4 linked regions of the Oryzias latipes genome follow. The protein of the gene in region 2 purifies or fractionates together with the protein of the main gene of each other region. This does not show direct contact. Links are inferred from orthologs where the notes say so. Each region holds a gene or a part of one and is shown on either strand. Other genes may lie near its edges.

Region 1 (4,803 bases), on a different chromosome or scaffold from region 2:
GCAGTCAAACGTATGAGGGACTTTGACCCCAAATATCCGCCTTACTTTGAAGTATTTGTTTTTCTTTTGCAGCTGGGATGAAGGAGCGAGTTTTTGATCTGACAGACATCTTAACTGAACAACAGTATTTTTATTAAAAGCCCTTATAAGCTGTGATTAAAACTGAAGAACTCGTACCAGCCTCATTCAAACGTGAACCCATGCAAAACAATCCATTTCAACACATCCGCTATACCAGCATGGATACCTGATAATCTGGTTGAATAAACTCATTTGAAAGGAGAATGTGAGTAATCTTTGCATCATTTCTTTTGCATTTCAAGGCAAACCATTGACATTTGCTTTCAAACTGTAAAAAAGATGCTAATAGTATTTTTTTTTATAAGTATGATCAACTTGAAATGAGGAAATTCAGTTAGGATGACAGTTAAAAGTGAAGATTTTGCTTTAGGAAGAAATTACGCATCTTTAATTGGTCTGCTAATCCCAGATTGTGCTAGTTTGATAGAACATCAATTAATACTTTTATGATTATAATGTAGAAGTAATAAAGGGATATTGTTCGTGGCAGTATTAGGCGAGTCTTGAATTAAAATGAAAAGCATTTTTTTAATCACATTACTTTTCAGAGTGTAAATAATGTGCATCTATAATACATGTTAGGTTTTCCCCACCTTTCACAAATTTAAATAACTGCACTGTAGACTTCTTTTGTAAAGTAAAATTTCCAAATGAAGCTACTACTGTATTGTTTTTCCCAGCATTTTAGATTTTTCAGTATTTTACCTTGAAAGCGATAAAAACAGTATTAAAAGTACATTTATAAAATACTACTCCTTATCATCAACTCCTTGTTTTTTTGTTATTTATATCCTTTCTATGCAACAAACAAAAGCATTTATATTTGACCCATGTGTTATAAATATATATTATTAACAGCATTCTGGTTCATAGACAATATGAGTGAATTATACTAACAAGTGTGTTCGTTCAATGAAGGAAATAAAACTGTCCGCAAAAACTAAACAGTGAGCTGGATTCAGTAATTAAAACTGTCCTGTCTATGATGAAACTTCGCTGTGGTTACTCTTTGAATTTAACACTTTAGAAACTAAAAATGAAAATAAAAACAAAACAGGAATCCAAAACTATCTGAAAAAAAAGGGGGTTTTCCTCTATTTTCCAGTGTCTGTTTTATTTGACAGATTTTTTCTCGGGTTTGGTTTTTCTTTTCTTTGAAGGGTTTGCAACAATTCTCTTCACTTTAAGAGGCTGCAGTGTGCAGGAAGAGGGAACCTCCGGAATCTCAGATTCCACCTCTAGTTTTCTTTTTTGACCTCTTTCCATCTTCTCCTCCTCCTCCTCCTCCTCCTCTTCCATGCCAACAAGAACTTCAGGTGGGACTTTAGGCGCTGCCTCTTGTAACCATGCAACATCCAGCGGAGGAACTCTTGGTTTGATTGCATCAATAGTGTCAGTGAACATCTCTTGGTCTATAGAGGAGCATCGCCTGAATCCCAGTGCGAGGACACTTTTCAGGCCCAGTGGCTCTGACAGACTCTGGCTCAGGCGTGGCACCTGACAGGCCGGCACAGCTCGTGTAGCACTCAAAGCGATCAGGTGATTAGTCATGTGGTTTGGTCTGGCAGATTTGCACACGAGCAGCAGGTGGAGCTCATTCTTCTCCAGAGCTTTAGTGACCTCGTTGATGCCGATGGCCAGCTGCCGTCTTGCTGCAACATCCGTCCAGCCGTTTGTGGAGAGCTCACCCCCCTGAGTCTCCTGGCTCAAAGATTCAGCTGTTGAAGGAGGTTTCTCTTCCTTCCTTTTCCCCCATGATCGAAACACTTTCACCTCTTTTTTCTCCAGACCTGTTGAAATCATTTTGTCCGTTAACGTTTTCAGGATAAAATGCATATCTTCTTGGGGAAGTTGGCTCCACTGTGAGGTGAAGGGTGAGTTGAAGGAGGTCTTTGCTTGGATTCGCTTTTTCTTAGTGGCTGGCTTTACAGAAGTCGCCATGGCTTGTCTGAAATCAGATTTTAAAGTTTTCCAGAAACGTTAGATTTAAAAACCTAAGCGTTTTCTGCTAAATAACTTTTCCAAAGTACTGTCATTAAAACAAAATTAAGAAAGGTCTAAAGTAGAATCCGCACTTCCCTTTTCCTTTTCTATATCAAACAAACCCAAATTTGATCATCAGGTATCAAATTAATTTCCATAAGTTTATATCACCGGGCAGAACAAACCCCAAACAATGGCTAGTTTCAGTCTTCAATCAACAAATAAATCTTTACCACAAACTCGCATAATGAGATCAAAATCTTTACTTTAGTCCTGTGGTTGGAAAAAACAAAAAGTTTACCAAGTTGATGACCAGTTCTAAAGTTGTCTAACTTAGTTTAGTGATAACTCTCCAAATAATGATCTACACTAACCCCACAGCACATAATTGGCTGAACAGAAGTTTGTCATGCCATTTTAATAATCACACAAGCCATCCTAATAAAAGGTTTTCCTGGCCTCCACAGACTCAGAAGGGGACTTGACATTTAAAATGGTCAAACTATTGAAAAGCTAAACAGTTTTCCATCACTTATTTATTTTTTTCTAGTTTTTTTGTGAAGTAAACAGAAAGAAATGGGAGCATTTTCAACTCCCAAACACATTAGCAGGAGATCAGACTTATTTACTCAAAATGTTAGAAGTTTTCACTGTTCACAGCATAAAATCTGGAGCACGCGACCCACCCAAGGCACGACTGTTAAAACTAAAAGAACTCCCCTTCTGACAGGTTTAGCTCAGTTTACATTCATTTTATCAGTAAATGAGAAGCATTGACGACAAACTAATGGACCAAATCATTAAAACTTACGTGACTTTTGAAGCTAAAAGAGTGTTTCATCAAACGTTTCCCTCTACCTTGTTAAACTGAGGCGCCGCCATGCTGTTTGAATTCGAAACCTTTATTTAAAAACTATTAGTTTCATTTACTTCAGCGCCGCCTAATGTTGGCTTGTGAAAAGGACACGCGACGTTCATTTAATGACATTTTCTCTGAAAACGATGTAAGTTAAAGGAGACAAACAAACAGAATTATCTGGACATTTACGACGATCAGTGAAAAAAAAACATTTGTTGTTTTCATGATGATAAATGGGAATTACACGAAGGATAAGCATAAAAAGATCAACTATTAATGTTTCTGATTTTTTTGTCCTGAAGTCATTGAAGTTGACAGACAACTAATCAGCGTCTGAGATCAAACATGGTCCCTCCTCCTCAGGCTCCTGATTGGTTGTCAAATCTTGCACTGATCAGCTGTGTTGCAATTACAGCTGCGCATAACCGTGCAGACCGTCGACGTTCAACTGTGGTCTTTTGCTGCTTTGATTCAAAAAGATGTCGCTCGAGGTAACTGCTATTCTTTATCTTTTCTTTCTCTTTATTTATTTTTTGCTTTTTTTTTTATCACGTTGAGCTTTACTTTCATTCCACATAGTAGCGTTAATGTTCTAATGACATTGTAATGGTCGTTGCCCCGTGCATCTTTGACCGAGATATGAAAGAAGCAGGATGTTTTACCGTCTGTGGTCCTGATGCTGGACCCTTTGACAGGAATATATCAGAGTTTGTGTACAACGAAAATGCTTCAATGTCAAAATGTAAATAGATGATTTAAACTCTTGGTTGAGGTGGATGTAAGTCATAACTTAAAGAATGACCTCTGTACAGCACATGGTTTTCGGGTTTAGATCTGTCTTAAGTGTGCATAATGATCTGCGCAGCAATGCCTTACATCCTGTGTAAAGCAGATTATTCAGACAGCCACAAAAGCCCCAGAGTCTGAAATAAAAGCCCATTGTTTCCCCAAAACTTTGGTTTCCCAGGCTTTGCGCCCTGGCTGAAACACTATGCCCACATTTTTGATTTGGTGTTGCCTGCAACTTATTAATATGCACATTTTTACAAAACCTCGTTTCTTATATTAAAAGTTGCCTATATTTTAACTATTAAGTTCACATACTGTTTTATAGCCGATCTTCTATTCATTTAAAGGCAGATTTTAAGACGGTGGCAGAGGATGTGAAGAAGGTAAAGACTAGGCCTTCAAACGACGAATTGTTGACCCTATATGGTCTTTATAAGCAATCCCTTGTTGGAGACATTAACATAGGTAAGGGATCAATGCACTTTTTTGCATTAACTTCATTGCATGCAGAATTTAAAGCAACCCTCCTCTTTGGTGTTTCTCAACATCAGACAAACCAGGAGCGCTAGATGCCACAGGAAGGGCAAAGTGGGAATCTTGGAATTCAAGAAAAGGTAATAATAATGTTTGTAAAATGACAGGTTTGCTTTATTGACTGAAATCTGTGAAATAAAGTATTGACAAAGTATGGGTAAAAATGGATGTAGGTTATCCTAAGCAATCTGCTAAACAAATCCATCATTTGTAAATCACAAATGTCACATCCCAATTCTCTTCAACTGCAATTTCTCCATATTTCATTTTGATTTACGGTTAAAAAAATATCTTAAGTTTTGATTTTTATAAAAAAAAGGTAACCCTTTTTATACCAGTGGGGATTTTAATGTCTGTTTCAATGGTATGCTATCACTGATGCTTTTTCCATTGTTTACACAATTTTTCAGGAATGTCCAAGGATGATGCCATGTCAACCTACATTACAAATGCTAAGGAAATCATCAGCAAATATGGCATGTAAGACTTGCAAAAACCCTCCAAGTATTTGGAATAATGTTCAACTCATTAAAAACAAAAAATGTTTTTTTTCCCTA
Region 2 (3,976 bases):
TGCGCCGCACCACGTAACAAATAGTCTGCTTTTTGTGAGAAAGGGATCCAAATGGGAAAAAAACAAGAATTAAGGATTAAAAACTGGTTAATATCATTTATTGTTTTTGTAACTGACCATGGTATAAGCGGGTTAATGGCGGACGAAGTGTGCATTATCACTTTTTAACACACTTCCCGGAAGCAACATTAACCCTTACATATAGGGTAATGTTAGTTTGCAAAATTTGACTGGAAAAATAGGCTGCAATTACACTGCAGGTCTTAATGCCCAGATACGATTTTCTGACTATGTCCGATTTTTTCTGACAGCCCGCTTACATCATCTTTTAAAAGTGACCCGTATCCGATTTTTGCATTTAAAAAACTACCAAACGTAGATGTTGTCAGGATATGGGGGGCAGGAGAGCAGGTAGGACCCAGAGGCACGAGGCACACGGTTCCAAGACAAGAGGGTTTAATTGCAAACAAAAGGCGCTGCAGAGCAGGATAACCACACAAACCTAAACTTACTGTGGCGTGGCATGAAACATGGCAGAAGACTTACATGGAAGAGACGTTACAACGTTAGTGACGTTAATGGACCAGCACAAGAGGAAGGGAGAGACAAGACTTAAATACAGACAGGGCAGACAAGACACAGGTGAACAAGATCAGGACAGATAGGGACAAGGAAGTAAAACTCAGGAACATGACCAAACAGAACACCTTTCAAAGTGAAACAGGAAACAGAACCAAACATGACAGAACAAGAAATAAAGCAAAAACCAAGACAAAAGAAACCCAAACCATGACAGATGTTCTGAAAAGGAAGGAAAACAACACTTGTTTTCCTTCCTTTTCCGGGTCAGAACGTCTCCAATGAATACCGACAATAATACAATGGATGCTGATGCACATAAAATTATACAGTGTTTTGCTTTCCACACTATTGTGAAAAGTCAGCAAAAAAATCAGCAAAACATTGGTCTCGTACGGCGGAGAAAAAAGAGGAGAGCCCTGGGCGAATTTAGCGATGATTGCTGCAACATCGGTTCAAAGGGAGGGGGGGTATATCATACTCTCAGATGTCATAGATATACAGTTTTGAAACACTTACAAAATTAAAATGAGAGAAAAAAAATCAAAACAATAAATAAAAACAGGAGCCAAATGATAGCACAGGACAGAATAACAGCCACAAGGACATTTGTTTATATATTATTTTAGCACCTACCGAGGATTGTAATCTTTTTAGTGAGGAATAATATAATTTAAATTTGTTGATAAAGCCTGGGAAGGAGGGCCTGATACCTCTCTACTTGCAACAGTGGATATGGTATTTTCCTAAAAGTAAAATGATAATGATATTTTAGAATCATCTAGATTTTCCATTAACAGTTGTACATCAGAAATACTAAAAGGGTGAATGTTCAGTTGTAAATTAATCCCATTCCTTATGTGAGTTCAGAACTCTTTTGAGTAATTGCATGAAAAAAAATGTTCCAACGTTTCCTTATTTGATGAGGTTGTTGTTTTTCCCGCTCGGGTTTTTTTTTTTTTTTTTCGTCTGAGTGTCCTTGCGACTCCGCGCCAGCGGGTGGCGGTGTGGCGCCCATTCACCGTTTTCCAACCGCTCCTGCTGCAGCTCCACCAGAAGAAAAGCTATCCGTTAGCTGGAAGGAGCCTTCACACACACACACACTCAAAAAGCATGAAGCGGCCTTAAAAATATGAAAGGAACTAAAGACGCGGCCTCACCAAAGTCTGTCTCCTCACGGTATGTTTCTGCATCACGTGACGGTGTGAAAGAAGAACAGAAAGTGAGGCGGGAACGGGGTTTTTTTCCGCGCGCGGCGGCTAGCTTCGAGGCGTTAGCCGGATGCTATTTATGAACACAGCTCCGCTCCTATTAGTCTAAATAATCGGTTAAAACTTTAAAAAAACCGTTATTTTTGCGTAAATTAAACGATACATTTGAACATTTTAGAGTTTTGTTGAAAATAAACGTCAGCGTGCTCGATTATGTCTGTGCATCTTGTAGAATGTGTTATATTTACTCTATAATAAACGGGTTATAATGAGCTTATATTTTTATTAAACAGTGTGTATTTTATAATGTGGATAACTACAATAAATATGTTTTGTTAGTGTTTAAGATAATATAAATCTATGTAGTTTGTCATCCTCACAGGTTGTCAACTGGTCAAAAATGTTTGATAATTTGCAGCATATTTAATGTATTTTCAATGATTTGATTGTTTATGCTCCCTTCAGGTGCGTGTTTTCCACTCTCACAAACAAACATGACTGAGGCCCATCACGCCGGGATGTCCTCGGCTCCAACGCCGCTGCCACACTCCGAGTCCGGCTCCCCGGCAGCAGAGATGGACCCGGTGGAGTACACGCTCAGGAAGCGGCTCCCCCGGAAGCTTCCCAAGCGGCGGAACGACGTCTACGTCAACATGAAGACGGATTTCCGAGCCCAGCTGGCGCGCTGCCAGAAGCTCCTGGACGGAGGGGGCCACCGGGAGATCTGCGTCCACGGCCTGGGCCTCGCCATCAACCGAGCCATCAACATCGCGCTGCAGCTGCAGGCCGGCAGCCAGGGAGCGCTGCAGCTGGCGGCCAACACCTCCACCGTGGAGCTCGTCGACGACCTGGAGCCCGAAGATCCCGATGAGAGCGGGGAGCCCATGACGCGCACGCGCAACAACTCCGCCATTCACATTAAAGTCTTCTACCCTGAACCTTAGTGACTAGAAACCCACCATGAAGACCCTGTACAGCTTCCACCATCTGTTTATGCTGATAATAACTTTTTGGGACCTTTATTGTGAAGTTCAAGGAGCTGCAGGCCACCTTAGTTTCTGCTAAGATTCAACTTCCCATTGTTGTTGTTTTTTTTCTTTTCATAAAATCATCAAGTGAAACTTTTACGATGTATTTGTGAACATGTGCCACATTTATTTATTTTAAAAACCTTTAAGCCTGCATGTACTCAGAAAAAATAAAAAACCAAACGTAAAAATAACTTTTCAATTGACTGTCATACCCATGAATGTCCACTAGATGTCAGTATTTAGCTACAGAGGTTTTCCAATCACAAGTTGTCAGTTTTCTTCAAAGTAATTTTTCGTTCTTTAAATACAACACCTACGTTTAAATATACGTGTCAGGGTCGAGATCAGAAAAAAATAAGCCTCAAGTCTTGAAAATATGATGGAAGAAAAATACGTTTTTGTTTGCACTTAAATAGCCAGTTTTACAATGACGGAACAAAAACAGTACAACTAAACAGGAAAGAAAAGAGGAAAAACATCGTCGAAAACGTCTCCGACTTACGCAGCAAAGTACAAAAACAAGGAAGACCCTTCAACGAGTTCCATCTGCGAGAATCCCTTTTTCAACGTCAAAGCATAAGTTCCCAGGATCAGCTGATTGCATGGCGTCGAGATTCTGGAAAGTGGCGATTAAAGCTGCACAGGATGTTTCGTTGCACGGATCTTCCGGCAGAAATTGAACAAACAGTTTCACAGTCGAGGGGGACTCTCACACACCGACTGAAACGCTGAGTCACGTGAGGTGTGACTCAGCCTTTCTCACACACAGGATCTTCCTAGAAAAGCAGCGACTGATGAGAACATCTTTGTGTGCAAATGTTCAGCAGGATGTGAAAAAGGTCTTAAACCATATAAAAACTGTATAAATAACTTTTACATCACTTAAAAAATACAATTTCTGTGAGATTACATGTTTTCGTGGAGACTGGAAAAAGGCACGTGAAGATAAAACCACTTTGTTTTTTCTCTTTTTTTCTACGCTACGTCACCGATTTCCAGGATGCGATCAATATCTTCCAAGTGTTCCACTCCACCATCCACCTCCACAAAGGAAAGAGCAGGGGTCAAACCCACGGAAACCACCAGCCTCATTGCTAACATACAAAAGTACATCCATACGCAAAGTGCAAGGGAGTGCCTGTTAGAACGGCTATT
Region 3 (4,499 bases), on a different chromosome or scaffold from region 2:
TTTTACTTTCCTTACCAGTGTTTTTGAAAACAACATGTGCTGGTCGGTCCTTCATCGTCAGGTCCAGGACAGAGAAACCTTCCTTATCCTGGGTGGAAAGAAGTCCACCATGCTAAAACCAAAGCAAAACAATATTTCATCATTTTTTCCACTTGTGACAATAAAGCAACAATGTTTTGGTCATTATATTTATTGTTAGAGAAGAAAAAAGAGCATCTCTAAACAAAACTGAATAGCACAGCTTTTTAGATGAACTATACCTTGATGAGTGATGTGAGGCAGTGAATCTGTCCATAGAAAGCGCTGCGATGCAGAGCAGTCCAGCCAGATTCCTTATCCTTTACCATAAGGTCTGCCCCCTTGCTCTCCAGCAGCCACTCCAGCACCGCTTTCTTTCCCAGCGAGGCCGCGAGGTGAAGGGCCGTGCGGCCAAACGCGTCGCGCAGGGTGGTTGCATTGTGACAATATGAAGTCAGAAACGCCTTGAGTTGCCTCTCGGACCCCCCAGTTAAGGCAGCTATGACCTGGTCTGCGTGCTGTTGGGACCGGCATTTGGGGGTGCAGTCTGCTGGTGCCAGACTCATCCTGGCCTCCAACTAATTTTTATTGTGAAACCGCTTTCCTTCTGTTACAAAGTCCTTCAGACAAATCCACCAGCCCCAGTTCCAACCCCCACCGAAAACGTGTGGTGTGAGGTTTAGGAACAGAAGAAGTCGAGATGATCTGGAGTGCTAGAATCGTGCCTGTGTTGAGGTTCCACTGCACCCTAGCAACCCCAGGGCCTTAGCTGGACTTGACTCAGTCCACCATATTGACCGAGGTTTGAAAATAAACAATGCTGCTTGCAGCATATAATGACATCCTAAATTCAATAAATACAAAATTTCATGTGTTTTATACAAAAATTTCTATCTCAGAACTTGCAAAAATAGTATTTTCACCTAATCATTTACAAAATGCAACAACTTCAACAACCAGTAGTCCTTCTGATCCAACAGTCCACCAAACCTGAGGGGAAAGGCCTCCTTCCCCCCAAAGGATCCCTTTCTGTTTTAAAACGCCATAATTGTAGAGTTCACCTGAGGAGGAAAAACGTTTTCACAAATGTTATTGATATTAAACGCAATAAAATCAACAATTGTACACCTTAAAGTCAAATCATATCAAGTCGTTTCATGAGTCTACAGAGATATATTACAATCCAACATATTTTAAGAGGAGCACATGAGCACCTGCTAAAGTTTACAAAGGACACAAAACAAGTCTTGATTAAATAATTGAGAATTTCAGCCAAACTTTCATCCCGTGTTCCTTGTCGTATAAAGTTATTGATGTCTTGCAGTTTCAAGACTTTATTTTGAAGTGATGTAGATGCAATAAACCCCAGACTTTATTCAAAATGTGGGAAAATGGCTGGTAAATGAAATAGTGGGGTTAAAACGGGTTTTTCTTTGTTTTGTTTTTTCTGATATCGTGGTAGGCCGTCAGTTACAATACCTCCGTGTTTGCTTACTTGTTTTTGTAGGGTTTTTTGTATTGTTTTATCTTCTTATTAATCTTTTTTTTGATACGGTGGCATGCCTGCTACTCCTCTTTGGACTATTCCCCAAAACATCTGGATCTGACGTGGACTGTGGGTGCTTCGTTTACACCACCAGCTGTTGTTGCTTGGCAACAATTAATATACAGCAGAAGGAGCAACCAGGAATTGCAGGAGAGGCTAAGGAGACTGTGGTCCCTCAGAGTTTGCAGGACCCTTAATGAGTTTTTTATGATTGTATTGTTGCATCCGCACTCTTCTACAGAGTGAGCCTCTTGGAGGAGGGCAGATGACAAGAACGGGAAGAGGATGGACAAACTGGTGCAGAGATCTGGCTCCATCCTGGGATGTACCCTAGTCTCTGACTGTAGTGGGCGAGTGGAGGATGTTATGGAAACCGGATCCATAATCTCTTTATCATCAAGCTTTGCATAAAACCATGGGTGCACTTAGGAGCCCCTTCAGTCTACAGTGCCTCACAGACACTGGACAAAAACGTTTGCTATTCATTTCTATGTGTATTTTGAGAGTTGTTTTGTTTTTTCCATCTGCTGATTTAATATAACTATGGTAACAAGTTAATTTATTGTGGGATTAATAAAGTTTTATTTTATTCTACAATGTAGGTTTTTGTCAAACTTCACACTCGTAGATTAAGCTCACTGCCCTTTATGCTGTCCACCTAAACAGAAGAGTAAATAAACTTTTTATGCTGACATGTATTTTATTCCACTAAAAATGTTGGGTGTTTTAGTTTTCCAAAGATTGACTGCTCTACCTTTCGACACAAACATCCTCCTGTTTCCACATTGGTTGGTTGACATCTGGTAGCCCTTAGGGGGAAAGAGCCAACGACGCACTAAGGCTGAGTGTTATGTAATGTTCTGGCGATGTCACATATGATTGGTATTATAGCCTACAGCATAAGCTTAAATATTTTGAACTTTTAAATACTCAATAAAATCAATTTCTTTGATCGTGTTCCTAGAAGTTCCAGTCAAGCTAACGTTAGCTAACAGACTAGATCCTCCTCCAGCCAAAGCTGCGTCATGTCATTTTAGACAATGTATGTATGCAAAACGGAGGGAAAATCCTAACGTGTTGTTTAAAAACATTTTTTAACGGCCGTGTTTGTGGCTCTGCTAGTTACATTCGTTTATGCATATATATACATAAGAGAACCGGATCATCATAGCTTCCCAGACAGTGAGAGCTCGGAGCTAGCATCTCCTCTCGTCAGAGGAATAAATGTCTTGTTGTTCTTGTCCGCTTACCTCTCGCTAGATGTAGAGAAATGAGCTTAAAGAGGAGGATGCATTAGCGGTGGACATACGCTGTGACATGACTACAATACAGAAACTTCAGCCACTGCGTTGCTTGTGCCGATTTTGGCCTGAATATAACACTGCAGGTTAGGTAAACACACTAGTTTCCATCGAGACTTCTGATTGGTCAGAGTGCCCTGTATACTGGAATTCTATTGGTTAATCGTCATAGGACGTTACGTGATTTGAGAGTGGGTCCGTTTGTTTCTGTCACTGGGGTGGGAGTGAGCAGAGAGCAGCATTCTTTATATATCTATATAGATATAGATATATAATATAGATGTATGTTATTATTATTTTAAGTGTACAGTAGAGTATATAATATTTTTTAAGTTTCTTTTTATTCACAGCAAAAGGGGTTAAAACTGTTGTCATTAACGTTCTTGGCTGGTCATTTAACCCTTGTGCTATCCTAGGCACTTTAACATTGGGAGTTGGGTCATCTAGACCCACTAGACTAGACAGTGCTCTGAACCTTTTTTCTTCAATGATTTGTGATCTTCACTGGTGTCCATGGATTACATGAAATCTTTCCACCTTTATCCACCTTTGTCATGGTAGGCACTCTCAAAGATAACTTCAGCTTCTTCATTTCAGCTGCCTCCTGTCTCTGTTTTAGTGTCTCTACCAACATGACTGCTCTCACCGCAGTCTTCTGCACCTTTCCTTTCATTCTTGATGACACTCTTTTGTTACATCACACACAAATCCTTCCTCCACCCATTCCAACCTGCTTGCACACACACTCTTTCACACACTCTCGGCTGTTGTAGATAGTTGACCCTAAGTCTTTAAAGTGCTCCTCCTTGTTCACCTCTTTCCTCTGTAACCTCACCATTCCTGCATCTGATCTTCATTCTTCTTTTGTCCAGAGCAAACCTCCAACTCTCTAGATGTTCTTCCACCTGCTCACTGCAGATCACGGTGTCATCTGCAAGCATCATGGTCCGAAGAGATTCCTGTCTGACCTCACCTGTCAGTCTGCCCATCTAAGGGACTTTTTGCTGGGTCAAAAGGCAAAGGGGACTTGGACTATAAGCGCCACATGGAAAACCATCATCCGTTCACCTTTCTCATCTATATTCCTGCTGCGTTGGCCTTAAACGTTTTGTTTTATGTCATCTTTGTTTTGTTTTTTGTTGTCTTGGTTTTAAATTATGCTTTAAAACATCTCAATAAGAAAGCCTTCTGCTGTCTCTGAGCAAATGGTAATATCCCTCGCAGATCCCTCATTTTTTGTAGTTCTGTGGCCTCACCCTCACTCGTCTGACACTCTATATGCCATGACTCTACACCTCCAGACTTCTTAAGAATGAAACCAGAACCATTTATGTTCCTTTTTTGATTGTATGTTTACCTTACAATTACCGGTACAAAGCCCATTGAGACGACTGTTGTTGTGAAATTGGGCTATATAAATAAAATTGAATTGAATTGAACACGTTCCTTCATTCTTCAGCCATTCTGTCTGTCTGTCTGTCTGTCTCTCTCTCTCTCTCTCTCTCTCTCTCTCAGAGATCCTTTAGTTTATTCCTCACAAAACAAAATGGACTTGTGTGCTCAACCCTCCACTCTGTATGTCACCCGATGTTCAACTTGTTTCTGGAAAAACTGCCTTCACCCGACCCTAGCAT
Region 4 (4,703 bases), on a different chromosome or scaffold from region 2:
CAACACTCACATCACAGTCTGTGGCTGCCTCCAAGCTTTCTGTTAGCACAGAATGAGACTGAGGTCCGACCAGGCGGTAGCGTACCATCTCCATCGTGAGATCGCTACGACAGATGACCAGATACGTGAATGAAACAGAATCACCTCCTCCAAACAGTTGCTCAGTTCATTCACTGACTTTATTACGATTCCAGTTGAGCTGGACTTCCAGGTGACTGGAGTGTCGGGTGATCTGGTTCCGTCTCCCAAGATCTTCTTAGCAGGAGGTCCACCTGCGTCCACACGGCTCCGTTTCCTCTTTCCTCCAGGTGTCACCTTGGCTTTAGGGGAGACCTCAGGCTTTGGCTCAGACTCCAGGGTGGAAGCAGACTCTGCAGGTGTGGCCACTGGGATAACCGGGGGCACCACCGCCTCAAAGCACTCACACACTCTTTGCAACTCTGGGAGAAGATCCTGAAGAGGAACACATCAGCTGAAATCAACCAGCTTGCTGTGACTGACTCGACACTGACTGGTGTACCAACAACCCAAACCCCCCTGTGAGGATTTAAAAGCAGCCGTTTACCTGCTTCAGAGCGGGATGCGCCCAGATCCACAGCTGCCTGCTGGCTGAGCCTTCTGCTCGAGGTCTCCAAAGAAATGTGACGGGGCCCAGAGGGTGTGAGGGGTACTGCCCCGCTCTGTACACCGTAACGCTGCCCTGTCTGCACCCAGACAGGCACAGAGCTGCAGCAAAGGTAGGGCCTGGAAAAATGTCAACCACAATTCAGAGTTTTATTACCGTACTTAAAGTCCCACTTTGATCATCTTACGATCTATTTTCAAGTGTTCCCAGTGGTCTTTTGATCATGATTGTGCTGAAATGCACTTTCAATCCAAATTTTCTTTATACATTTCCTGAACCATCACAAAAATGCCACAAGAACAAGTTAAAAACACCAAAAGCACCTTTTCATCAGGGTGGATCTTTAAATTAGTCTCAGAAAGTCAAAAAAGGCAGCCTGTGTTTTTTTTTTTTAACGTGGTAAAAAGAAAGTAGTAACAGCCCTCACCCGTCTCCTTGCTGGTCAGCTGTGACAGAGCAGTCAACAGCGTGTCCTCCTCTCCCTGCAGCTCAATGCAGCAGTAATAAGAAATGTCCTGCATAGATGAAAAAAATAACTAAAAAAAAGCAGTTTATCTATCTCCTGGATGTTTTCATATAAATAAAAACAGAGTGTTTTACCAGCAGCAGGCAGTGGCTGCTCATTGCTCTATAGCACGGCCGGTAGCACTTGCACGTTGGTCTGTCCCCGAGACGGTAACCCCACTTCTTTACCATGTGGAAACGCTTGGCGTGCCAAATGTGCGTCTCTAACCAAATGTTCTTGCGCTGGCGGCGATTGAACTCCAGCAACAGGTTGCCGTGGCGCCGGCGAGCTTTGCGGCTTTTACTCTTTGGTAGCTCCTTCTTCTTCTTCGAGCCGGCCTGGAGGCTCTTTTCCCGCTGATGGAGGAGCGTATGTGAGCGCACACGGAGCATGGATGAATCACTAAAGCAGCTGAGAGCATTTGCAGAAATTACCATTTTGCTCGCCACATCTCTCAGCCTGCGGGGAAGCCTCTTGGTGTTGTGGCTCATGGCGCGTCTCCTCATGTGTTTGGGCAGAGCCTGGAAGACATGGTTGCTGCCCGTTCTCTTGGTCACTGCTTTCAGCATGGCCTTCACCTCTGCAGCCCTGCTCCTGGCAAACGCTCCAGCTTGGTGAGGAGAACAATAGAAGGACTTTTAGGAAACTGTAGGAAAAAGGGGCTCTGACAGACCATTTATAAGGTTTCCCAGCATTTTAATTGTTTTTAGGAATTAACAAGAAAGTGTTTAAAGAAAAGGCATCAAATGGTAAAGGGAAAAAAAAAGAAAGCTGCCATCGCCTTTGTCAAATAATTTCCCAAATGTCATGGGAAATGTGGTTGATGTTGTGCATATGAAGGGATTCTGCTCATAAATGAAGTTCGTGACATAAACAACTTTTGCCTGTGTTTGCAGGAGTGAAGCGTCTCCTCACCGGTGATGTATTTGGGCATCTCCTTCATGTAACCTCCTCCTCCATCTCTCTGATTTCCACGAACCCATCCAGTCCTGGGAGGAGGGTTCCTCTGCCATCCTAGCAGAAAAGATCAGAACAAACAGCGTTTTGCTTTTCAAACCACTGTTTCCTTTAATGAGGCGTCAGACATGTGTGGTCAGGACATTTAGAGAATTTTAATGCAGAATATACAAGACAACACTGATGTTGTGTCTTTCTGACCAGCATCATCATGCCACCTAAATGTCAATCATATAAAAGGCTAAGGGGAAAAGCACACAGTGAATGCAGGGCTGAGTGGCCTGCCGCCACCATGTGCTGACCACGCAGCGGCAGTCCCCACTCGTGACAGTGGGCCGTGTCAATACCGGAGTCCTTCGCTTCTTGTCGTCCGTTCTGGCTGCTGCTACCCGCCGCGGCGGAAGGAGACGAATACTGCACGCTGGCAGGCTGGTTCTTCATCTTCCTGTCCCTCATCTTCACCTTGGAAGCAGACATTTTCTCTAGTCTTAACCGCCACAAAACATAAATAAAAAGAAGAAATCCCGAAAAAGTCCAAATAATAAGCCAGCTAGCTACGTTAGCTCACACTGAATCTGAAGTTTTTTCTCCCAAACTTGGATCTAGCAGACTGATTCAAACGTAACTTATGTATAAAAAAGAGGTAAATCAAAAATGTCTATCACAAAATTAAGTCGGATGCAGTTCAATGTTGTCGCTACAGCTAACAACCACATGGGTTTAATTAATGTCAGCTTACGTCGATTTGCTTCCGGGTTCGTGGTACTCTTGGAATTTGTAGTTCAGTTGCCGAAAAGACTAGCGAGTCAGGAGAAAACACGTCGACATAGCAATTTATCTTTTAGGATAGCGTTGTTTTTTTCTTGCTTCACTATAAATATATAATTTTACTGTAAAAAAAATTAAGACAAAATAACTTTCTTTAAAAAGTCAGGTACATTTTGCGACTGTTAGTTGTCATTTACGGTAAGGCGGATCCAACTGTTCTCCGTCGTTTTTTTCCCAATCTTTATTTATAAATTAGTTTCCCTTCGTGTTTTCGCCTTCACACGCCTGCTTTCACCCTGCATGAGTTCAGAAACATGTCTGCGTTAATCAAGAAGATCATCAGCACGACTAAAGCTCCTGCTGCCATCGGTCCATACAGGTGAGCGGAGTACGAATCCGACCGTCTCTGGACGGACACTACACCAAACAAACAAGTGCACGCTTCTTCACTGTGGACTTTACACCGCACCACTGTGGAAAAGTTTAGCTGCTGTTAACCATATTTCTTTAAGAAACTTTTATTTGAGTTCTAATATTTAATATAATTACAAATAAAAACGAATAATAAAAATCAAATGAAATTTGCCTAATCTTAAATTAATCTAAATGCAGCCTTAACATAATCATACCGTGTGTCCGCCCCCCCCCGCCCCCCCTTCCATTTTCCTTTTGATTTATTTCTTTGACCAACTCAAATTATTTTTGACTTTAGAGTAAACTTTTGTCTGGTCTCTAAAAACTATTAACCTGAAGCTTTTTTTGTTTTTTTTCCTCACAAAAAAAAAGCTTTCAAAGTAAAAGTTAGCTTATAAAATGAATTTAATCATAAAACCTACATTGCAGCTGTAGACATGATTTTTTATTTTTCCATGAAATCTTTTTGAAATAGGCTGATACTGTGGTGCTGTTGTCTTCCAGCCAGGCGGTGCTGGTTGATCGGACCATGTTCATATCAGGACAGCTGGGGATGGATCCCGCCACCACACAGCTGGTGGAAGGAGGCGTTCAAGCACAAACCAGACAGGTGACCACACGGCTTCTCTTAAAACATTTGTAGCTTTCCTTCTCAAACTACAAAGGTGGATTGTGAACAAGCTAAAGACCCACCTTTACGAAAATGAGTTTTTTTGGTGTTTTTAACATGTTCTTGTGACCTTTTTCTGATAATTAAGGACATATAAAGAAATTAAGCTTATAATAGCATGTCTGGGTATTTCTTCCAATTGTTGTAAATCAGGAGCAGATGCAAAAATGCAGCTGGAAAAAGCTTGTAAGTGTGGCTGACAAGTTACCCCAGTGGGCCACTAGCTCCCTGCCCCTCTCCATTCTGATGCATCCACTTGTAGACAAATAGACACGTGTGTGTCCTCATTTTTCTCGTCTGAGCTGGAATCTCCACGGCTCCGATATTGCTCGCCATTTTTGTTGCACCGCCAATGTTAGGTTGGGGATACGAGGGAACGTAAGCTAGTGGAAGACGGGGTAAACAGATGATGGAAAGGGGGCAGGCTTTCACGACTACTGTACTACTGTCGCTCTGCAGAAATTATGTCCTGGAAAACGACCCAGGATTCCTGGTTTTGGCTAAACTTGGCATAATCATAATTAAAAGAACACCGGGAACGCTTTGAAAACGGATCAAAAGATGATCAGAGTGGGACTCTAAAGTGTAACTAAGGTGCAGATTTTTTTTTGTTGAGCTACAGATCAAGGAACTTGAGAATCATGAATTGAGTATTTTCTTTCAAGTTGCAATGATCACAAATGCAGGGAAAAGAAAACATGTTGACTTCTCACCACAAGGTGAAGCAAATGCAGAAGGTTTTTTTTTTTTCATGGTGGAGAGAG

Evidence for each region. Proteins that work in one complex are often made in the same cells at the same time.
Region 1: the proteins of pop7 (region 2) and rpp38 purify together in Homo sapiens (co-immunoprecipitation; 3 studies listed by BioGRID and IntAct, with this or other methods). This does not show direct contact. The link is inferred for Oryzias latipes from reciprocal best matches to the Homo sapiens genes POP7 and RPP38.
Region 3: the proteins of pop7 (region 2) and ibtk purify together in Homo sapiens (affinity purification with mass spectrometry; 3 studies listed by BioGRID and IntAct, with this or other methods). This does not show direct contact. The link is inferred for Oryzias latipes from reciprocal best matches to the Homo sapiens genes POP7 and IBTK.
Region 4: the proteins of pop7 (region 2) and pop1 purify together in Homo sapiens (affinity purification with mass spectrometry; 3 studies listed by BioGRID and IntAct, with this or other methods). This does not show direct contact. The link is inferred for Oryzias latipes from reciprocal best matches to the Homo sapiens genes POP7 and POP1.

Annotation. Positions count from the first base shown.
Region 1 is NC_019874.2:17,912,681-17,917,483, forward strand, and holds the start of rpp38 (ribonuclease P protein subunit p38), read right to left. Parts: upstream 2,975-4,803; 5' UTR 2,876-2,974; intron 2,030-2,875; 5' UTR 2,023-2,029; coding exon 1,195-2,022; 3' UTR 1-1,194. Other genes in the region: acbd7 (acyl-CoA-binding domain-containing protein 7), read left to right, coding at 3,403-3,414, 4,060-4,177, 4,264-4,326, 4,657-4,730. UniProt on the Homo sapiens protein: Component of ribonuclease P, a ribonucleoprotein complex that generates mature tRNA molecules by cleaving their 5'-ends. Also a component of the MRP ribonuclease complex, which cleaves pre-rRNA sequences.
Region 2 is NC_019876.2:6,185,192-6,189,167, forward strand, and holds pop7 (ribonuclease P protein subunit p20), read left to right. Parts: upstream 1-1,602; 5' UTR 1,603-1,758; intron 1,759-2,255; 5' UTR 2,256-2,284; coding exon 2,285-2,734; 3' UTR 2,735-3,276; downstream 3,277-3,976. UniProt on the Homo sapiens protein: Component of ribonuclease P, a ribonucleoprotein complex that generates mature tRNA molecules by cleaving their 5'-ends. Also a component of the MRP ribonuclease complex, which cleaves pre-rRNA sequences.
Region 3 is NC_019874.2:4,317,555-4,322,053, forward strand, and holds the start of ibtk (inhibitor of Bruton tyrosine kinase), read right to left. Parts: upstream 2,975-4,499; 5' UTR 2,815-2,974; intron 1,080-2,814; 5' UTR 585-1,079; coding exon 261-584; intron 113-260; coding exon 16-112; intron 1-15. UniProt on the Homo sapiens protein: Acts as an inhibitor of BTK tyrosine kinase activity, thereby playing a role in B-cell development. Down-regulates BTK kinase activity, leading to interference with BTK-mediated calcium mobilization and NF-kappa-B-driven transcription.
Region 4 is NC_019874.2:6,456,925-6,461,627, forward strand, and holds the start of pop1 (ribonucleases P/MRP protein subunit POP1), read right to left. Parts: upstream 2,975-4,703; 5' UTR 2,565-2,974; coding exon 2,435-2,564; intron 2,145-2,434; coding exon 2,046-2,144; intron 1,741-2,045; coding exon 1,565-1,740; intron 1,487-1,564; coding exon 1,226-1,486; intron 1,141-1,225; coding exon 1,053-1,140; intron 745-1,052; coding exon 566-744; intron 454-565; coding exon 179-453; intron 105-178; coding exon 11-104; intron 1-10. Other genes in the region: rida (2-iminobutanoate/2-iminopropanoate deaminase), read left to right, coding at 3,170-3,234, 3,774-3,879. UniProt on the Homo sapiens protein: Component of ribonuclease P, a ribonucleoprotein complex that generates mature tRNA molecules by cleaving their 5'-ends. Also a component of the MRP ribonuclease complex, which cleaves pre-rRNA sequences.